Callithrix jacchus: one gene and its partner. The protein of the gene in region 1 interacts with the protein of each later gene in a biochemical or structural test. Links are inferred from orthologs where the notes say so. Each region holds a gene or a part of one and is shown in the gene's direction. Other genes may lie near its edges. The genes, in order: ATR and ATRIP.

The links.
Region 2: the proteins of ATR (region 1) and ATRIP form a complex in vitro, tested with the Homo sapiens proteins (4 studies listed by BioGRID and IntAct, with this or other methods). The link is inferred for Callithrix jacchus from reciprocal best matches to the Homo sapiens genes ATR and ATRIP.

The regions. Positions count from the first base shown.
Region 1 is NC_133518.1:42,054,081-42,057,899, forward strand, and holds part of ATR (serine/threonine-protein kinase ATR), read left to right. Parts: intron 1-58; coding exon 59-211; intron 212-2,165; coding exon 2,166-2,358; intron 2,359-2,601; coding exon 2,602-2,864; intron 2,865-3,819. UniProt on the Homo sapiens protein: Serine/threonine protein kinase which activates checkpoint signaling upon genotoxic stresses such as ionizing radiation (IR), ultraviolet light (UV), or DNA replication stalling, thereby acting as a DNA damage sensor.
Region 2 is NC_133516.1:31,091,163-31,095,411, forward strand, and holds the start of ATRIP (ATR-interacting protein), read left to right. Parts: upstream 1-1,242; 5' UTR 1,243-1,351; coding exon 1,352-1,598; intron 1,599-4,249. UniProt on the Homo sapiens protein: Required for checkpoint signaling after DNA damage. Required for ATR expression, possibly by stabilizing the protein.

The DNA.
Region 1 (3,819 bases):
TAAAAGACATATGATTCAGGAAAAGTTAGAATTAATGACTTATTTTGTGCTTCTGTAGTAAACAGTTCATTTGAAGATCATATTCTGGAAGATTTGTGTGGAATGCTCTCACTTCCATGGATTTATTCCCATTCTGATGATGGCTGTTTAAAGTTGACCACATTTGCCACTAGTCTTCTAACATTAAGCCGGAGGATTTCAGACAGCTATTGTAAGTGTTCACAAGAATATGTTTGTGTGTGGTTTGTTTTATTTATTTATTCATTTCATTTTTGAGACCGGTCTTACTCTGTCACCCATGCTGGAGTGCAGTGGCATGATTTCGGCTTGCTGCAACCTCCGTCTCCTGGGTTCAAGCAATTTTCCTACCTCAGCCTCCTGAGTAGCTGGGATTACAGGTGCCCACCACCATGCTCAGCTATTTTTTGTATTACTACTAGAGATGGGGTTTCATCCTCTTGGCCAGACTGGTCTCCTGACCTCAAGTGATCTGCCCACCTCAGCCTTCCAAAGTGCTAAGATGACAGGCGTGAACCGCCATACTCAGCTGTTGCTCAGTGTGATTTGTTTTAACTCATCTCTGTATAGGACTTCTAACACTTATCACTTATATTTTTTCAATAAGAGAGCAGGTACATTTTTAATAAATCAGAAGGGAGTTAGATACATAAAAAGTACCACCTATAAAAGCCTGTCCCATATATCCCATTTCCTTTCTGTAAAACATTTGCAGTGTTTCTGTACATATTTTTATATTTATTAGTAAAATTAGGAAATATTTGAGAAATTTTTTTTTGTTTTAGAGACAGGGTTTCACCATGTTGGTCAGGCTGCTCTTGAACTCCCGACCTCAGGTGATCCACTTGCCTCAGCCTCCCAAAGTGCTGGGATGACAGGCGTGAGCCACCGTGCCTGGCGAGAAATATTTTAAAAAGAACAATACACCAAAAATTCTTATACTAGCTTCTCAGATTAAGAAATAAAAACATTACTCCAGGCACAGAGGCTCATGTCTGTAATCCCAGCACTTTGAAAGGCGAAGGCATACGTATCACTTGAGGTCAGGAGCTTGAGACCAGCCTGGCCAACATGACAAAACCTGTCTCTACTAAAAATACAAAAATTAGCCAGGTGTGGTGGTTCGTGCCTGTAGTCCCAGCTACTAGGGATGCTGAGATACAAGCATCTGTTGAAACCAGGAGGCAGAGGTTGCAGTGAGCCAACATTATATATTGCACTCCAGCCTGGGCGACAGAATGATTCACTCTCTCTAAAACAAAAGAAAAAAGAAATAAAACCATTACAGTGTTTTGAAGTGAGTTTCACTTCACCCTTCCCTCTCTTCATGAAATTTTTTTTTTAAAAAGAAATAAAAATATTAGAGATACAATGGAAGCCCGTTGTCCCTCTATGATTTAATCTTTATAAGACTTATCCCATGGTGATATGGGTAACTCTAGTATTTTATTTAAACTTCTGAATAGTAGCTAGATGTATGGCTAGACACTATCAGACCTCCTATTGGTGGACAATCAGGTTGTTTCCAACTTTTCTCAATTATAAGCAAAATGTAAATGAATACTTTTGTAAATTATTCTTTAGTCATTCTAAGGTCTTGCTGTTTGAAAAGTATGGTCCACAGACCAGTGGCATTGCCACCATTTAGGGACTTGTTAGAAATGGAGCATCCCTGTTTCTGCTTAGAGAGCACATTAAAAAAAAGAGAGAGAGAGAGAAAGAAAGAAATGGAGAATCTTATGCTCTACCCAGACCTACTGAATCAGAATCTACATTTTAACAAGATAGGTAATTCATATGCATATCAAAGTTTGAGAAGTACTATTTTAACATATCTGTCTACCTAGGAGTAGTATTGTTGGGTTATAGAGTTTATACATCTTCACCACTTTTCTGCTGTGTTGTTCTCCAAAGATAGGCCAGTTTACACTCCTATTAGCAGAGTATGAGAGTTCCACATCCTCACTGATACTTAGCAGACTTCAAAATTTTTGCTTTCTAGGGAAAAAAATGTCTTGGAGTTAATTGACTTTTATTTTATATATATACACAAATGTTACTTATATATGTATGTGTGTATATGTATATGTGTATATGTAAAATTAACATTAGTAGAAATCTTGTTTAATAGACTTAATTTTTTTCAGCACCACAGGCACAATCACGATGTGCGTTTCTTTTGACTCTGTTTCCAAGAAGAATATTCCTTGAATGGAGAACAGCAGTTTACAACTGGGCCCTGCAGAGCTCCCATGAAGTAATCCGGGCTAGTTGTGTTCGTGGATTTTTTATCTTATTGCAGCAGCAGAATTCTTGTAACAGAATTCCTAAGATTCTTATGTATGTACTAAGATTTTAATTTGAATATATTACTCAATTGGAAAGATCATAATTCTCTGGCTGTATATGCAAAGTTATGTTTATTGTTGAATATGTAAAGCAAATGTTGCTTTTAGTTTTAGAATTTAACATTTTTTCCTTCTAGACTTTGTTTTACCAGTACCTTAGTCCCAAATTAAGCAAGACTATTTATACCACAAAATTAGGCAAGGAGGTTTAGTCTTTTTCTTTTTTTTCCCCCAGAGATAAAGTCAAAGATGATTCTGACATTGTCAAGAAAGAATTTGCTTCTATACTTGGTCAGCTTGTCTGTACTCTTGATGGCATGTTTTATCTGACAAGTTCTTTAACAGAACCTTTCTCTGGACATGGACATGTGGACCTCTTCTGTAGGAACTTGAAAGCCACTTCTCAACATGAATGTTCATCTTCTCCACTAAAAGCTTCTGTTTGCAAGGCTTTCCTTTTTCTACTGAAAAAAAAAACACCTAGTCCAGTGAAACTTGGTGAGTGATTATGACTTATTTAATATTTTAAAACCCATTTAAGCTCTGTTTTTCAAATCAGTAAAAGAATTAGGCTGAAGCCTTGAAAAACTATAGGAAGTTACATGCTTGATAGATCACAGAACCCATAGGAGAGGTGATTTGGGGATTTTTTGAATACTCTTGTGATTTGACAACCTAAATGGGGCATACCTGATGGTTGTTTCAATATTGTAAGATTCAATATTCTATATCTTCTTTAGGGACACCAGAGACCTTCTTAATGTGTCCGCAGTTACCACCTTGGACCTTGAGAACTTCAAATAGTTAGATTACTTTGCCCAACTGAGAACTATAGAGTGTATCTTCTTGTCCACTTTCCAGTGGTAATGGAGTATAAGCTTTTAGGGAGCATGAGATTTCTAAAAATACCTAGAAGATAAATTTGTTTAGGCAGCAAGCTGAAACTCATTCTCAAGTTTTTGAAAAGATGGAAAGTACTCCCTAAATCTTGTAATATAAGGTTAACGATAAAGCTAAGATCTTCTTCAGAAATGTGCTTTTCTTTTTTTTTTCTTCCTGAGATGGAGTTTCATTCTTGTTGCCCGGGCTGGAGTACAATAGCGTGATCTCAGCTCACTGCAACTTTCGCCTCCTCAGTTCAGGCGATTCTCCTGCCTCAGCCTCCCGAGTAGCTAGGATCACTGGCATGCGCCACCACGCCCAACTAGTTTTTGGATTTTTAGTAGAGACAGGGTTTCACCATGTTGGTCAGGCTAGTCTCAAACTTCTGACCTCAGGTGATCCACCCACTCTGGCCTCCCAAAGTGCTGGGATTACAGGCATGAACTACCACATCCGGCCTTTCTTTCTTTCTTTCTTTCTTTTAAAGAGACAGGGTCTTGCTCTGTTGCCCAGGCTGGAGTGCAGTGGCGTGATCATGGCTCACTGCAGCCTGCAGCCTTGACCTCCCAGG
Region 2 (4,249 bases), on another chromosome or scaffold:
CTGAGCACCAGTGATTCACACTGTTGCTGAGAGCAAGTTACTTAGTGGAACCTATCCCTCTTTAACAAGTGAACAATCCTGTCTCTTTCCAAGACCAGAGTCCTGGAGCAACTGAGCATGCAACATTTGGGCAGCTGAGGGAGACTTACCAGTTACTCCAAAAAACTTTAAACTCCTTAGATGTTGTAGACCCTGATAGCAATCTCCCTTTCATTTAATCTTCCTTTTATATAATGCCTTCACAAACACTCCTAGGACACTCATGAGTAAAGTTTGGCATTGAGCAGGTCAGGTAAGGCTGAAAGAGTCTTGCTCCTGTTACTCTACACCGCCAATTCTCTATTGCAGCTAACTGTTCTGCACACCACTGCTGCCCAGTAAAATTTGTCAGTCACGCAAACCCAGCTCAAATTGCTGCTCCTTTGTGAAATTTTACCTCTGTCTTCGCCTCAGCTAACTCTTACCTGGCTTTTGTGTGGCCTCCCTCTCATGTGCCAGCCCTCTATCTTGCTAACTTCACTTAACCTATACGTCAGCCCAGGTGCCATTTACAGGGGGACTACTTTGACCTCTTGAGCCTCATTCCATACAACCAGAGCTTAGGAAAAAAACATTCCACCACTCAGAGGAATTAATGTTAACAGCCTGAGCAGCTCCCACCCCCTCCCACACAGGAACATTTCCAAACATCACTCCTCCTTGGACTTTTCCTCCCTGTACTTTCCTCCTCCCTGGGCCTACCTCAAATGTAGGCATGTGAAACATTCACTATTCCCGAAGGTGTCTGCACACGACAGCTCTATTCATACTCCTCACCCATCATATTCCACTCTCCGCCTCAAGAAAGCCTCGGGGTTTGTGGGAGGTGGGTCTGCCGGGAGAACGAAAGCGAGGTCTCAGAGACCACATTCCTGAATGCTGCCTGGCTCGACGGAAACGCAACATGCGTGACTGCTAGGGCAAGCTGCTCCTGCGCGGCCCTCCTCCACGAAGTGCCAGGGAGAGAACGCAAAGCCACCCGCGCGACGGAGCTGGTGCGCCTCGGATCCGCCCGCCTCTCCGATAACGCGTCGCGCCGCACCTAAGTCTTCGTCGCAAACCTGCAGAACCTCTGCCCCTGACCTCGGAGCAGCCACCTAGCCGCCCGGGCGTCCGCGGGGCGTGGCGGCGCACTCGGACGTTCGTCATTCTTCCGCGTCCCACCACCTGCCGGCTTATTGGCCTCTGAGCCGGGGGCGGGGCACTCGCGGCGGAGGCTAGCGGCGGCGCGCGGGCGGTTGGTCCAGTTTTCGGGGCTCGCTGCAGGCAAGTCAGGCTCGGCGCCGTCTGATACTTGGGGCTAGAGGTAGGCATGGCGGGGACCTCCGCTCCGGGCAGCAGGAGGCGAAGCGAGCCCCTGGCGCCTCGCCCTGGACCGCCGCCCCGCACCGAGCATCCCCCGAGCAAGCGGGCCCGGGGCTTCTCCGCGGCCACTGTCCCGGACCCTGACGACCCGTTCGGCGCGCACGGGGACTTCACTGCCGACGACCTGGAGGAGCTTGACACCCTCGCGTCACAGGCCCTGAGCCAATGTCCAGCCGCGGCTCGGGACGTGTCCAGTGAGTGCTCCTCGCGGCCTTTTTCCCGGAGGGAGTTGCAGACCGCTCCAAATCCCCCTGATGGCTGTGCCTTCGGAACCTCGGGGCCAGCACTTCCCTTTCGCCTTTTTAAAATATGGGAGCACCCTGATTTAAGCAACGGCTGTCTTCCAAAACGGCTGTCCTTTGATTTTAGGGGGAAATGCATCATCAAGGTCAAACAGCCGATTTGAAACAGAAGCTAGGTTAACATTTTATTTTCTAAAGTTTGGGCCACTTCATTCTTGATTCTAAGCAGAGATCCTGATCCTTGGAACACACCTACCACCACCATCATCATCACTACCCATGCATGGGGACCCATTCTTGTGACAAGTTTGAGAGGCTTTAGATCTTATGAAGCCCACTGTCTCCCTTCGGCAGTGTGAGCGTGGGAGGAGCGTGACACAGGCAAGAGATGAAATAAATTTATTCTTTTATACAACCAGTAAACTGTGCTAGGTGCCCAAATGTGAGGAACTGCAGCTGACCTAACAATGAACGAAATACAAAAACTCTGCCCTTCCTGGAGCTTTCATTCTGAGTGAAGCCTCAGGGACTCCCAGAAAGAGAAAGGTTTTGAGTGCACCTTGCATTTGTACTTGGCTGTCTCAAGGCATCTTAAACTCAACACAGTCATTTCCTGGAAACCCAGTCCTCCTTCAACATTTCTAGCATGGTGCCGGCAAAGCAGACATTCACACTATGATGACCAGATATTCCACAAGGAAGTAACTAGAACCACTCTCCAACCAGTGGCACAAGGCGACTCATCCCCTTTCCTTGACTCTACATCTAATTTCTTTGCAAAGCCTGTCAAGCTTACCTTCTTAATCCATCTCTGGAATCTATCCTGTTCACATCACTTCTGCCAACTGCCTGATGTATGCTACCATGAGTCCTCCCTTGAACAAACAGTCCACTAAATTGGTTTCCCATTTCCAATCTTGACTCCCTACAAGTGAGGCTTCACATCACATTCTGAGTGACCTTTTCAAAACTCAAATCTGGCTGTGTCTTACACAGATATACCTGAACACCCCTAATTTTATTTATTTATTTAGGTTTTTTTTTGAGATGGAGTCTCACTCTGTCACCCAGGCTAAAGTGCAGTGGTGCCATCTCACCTCACTACGACCTCCACCTCCCCGATACAAGCAATTCTCCTGCCTCAGCCTCCCGAGTAGTCTCAGCCTCCTGAGTAGCTGGGATTGCATGCGCCCACAATCGCACCCAGCTAATTTTTATATTTTTAGTAGAGATGGGGTTTTGCCATGTTGGCGAGGCTGGTCTCGAACTCCGGACCTCAGGTGATCTGCCCACCTTGGCGTCCCAAAGTGCTGGGATTACAGGCATGAGCCACCGTGCCTCACCATGAACACCCCTATTGAAAGCCCTTTAATGATTTCCCACTGCTTCTAGTATAAAGACCAAAATTTTTAACATGGCCTGCAAGGTCTAGCCTGGTTTGGCCCTTTCTCACTCTCTGGGTTCTGGCTACACTAACATTTCTTCATTCTTTTAATTCTTTCTGCTTCCTTACTTTATACATTGCTTTCTTTGTACATTGAGTATACTTTCTATTCATTCATCTCCAGTCATCTGGTTAATTCCTACTTGTCTTTCAGCTCCCAGCTCCTTCCAGTCTTCTTTAGGGAAATGTTCCAATCATCTCACTTAGGGCAGATTGCTGTCCTGTTACAGGCTTTCCTGTATTTGTTCTCTTCTACAGTTCTTATCACAGTTGTAATTTGACATCGATTTGTGTGATTATTTGTCGAATGTCCTTAAGCTCTGTGAGTGTAAGGACCATGTCAATTTTGCTCACCATTATACCTTTAGAGCCTAACATCATGCCTGGCATATTGTTTGTGGTCATTAATTATTGTTGATAATAAATAGATCACTTGAGTTCTGGCCAGTGAAATCTCCACAGCACCTTTCAGGCTTTAGGTGAGACTCTTGGAATTGGGTGAGGGATAGGGAAATAGTGATAGGATCTGTTATTTTAGAAGATCGTTTATGAGTTTTGGCTGGGCATGGTGGCTCAAGCCTGTAATCCCAGCACTTTGGGAGGCCAAGGCAGGCTGATCACTTTAGCCCAGGAGTTTGAGACCAGACTGGCCAATATGGTGAAATCCCATCTCTACTAAAAAATATTAAAATTAGCCAGTCATGATGGCAGACACCTGCAATCCCGGCTTCTCAGGAGGGTAAGGCATGAGAATCACTTGAAGCTGGAAGGCAGAGGTATCAGTGAGCCAAGATTGCGCCACTGCGCTCCATCCAGCCTGGGCAACAGAGCGAGACTCCGCCTGAGGGAAAAAAAAAAGAGAGAGAGGACCACCCTGGCCAACATGGTGAAATCCCATCTCTACTAAAAATACAAAAATTATCCAGTAATGGTGGTGGGCACCTATAGTCCCAGCTACTCAGGATGCTAAGGCGGGAGAATGTCTTGAACCCAGGAGGTAGAGGTTGCAGTAAGCCAAGATTATGCCACTGCACTCCAGCCTAGGAGACAGCAATTGTTTATGAGTTTGAACCATGTTCTTAAGCTGGAAAATACCTGTATTACTTACTAGATCTTTCTCTGCTTTGTTCTCAAGAGTAAATTTTCCCAACACTTTGGG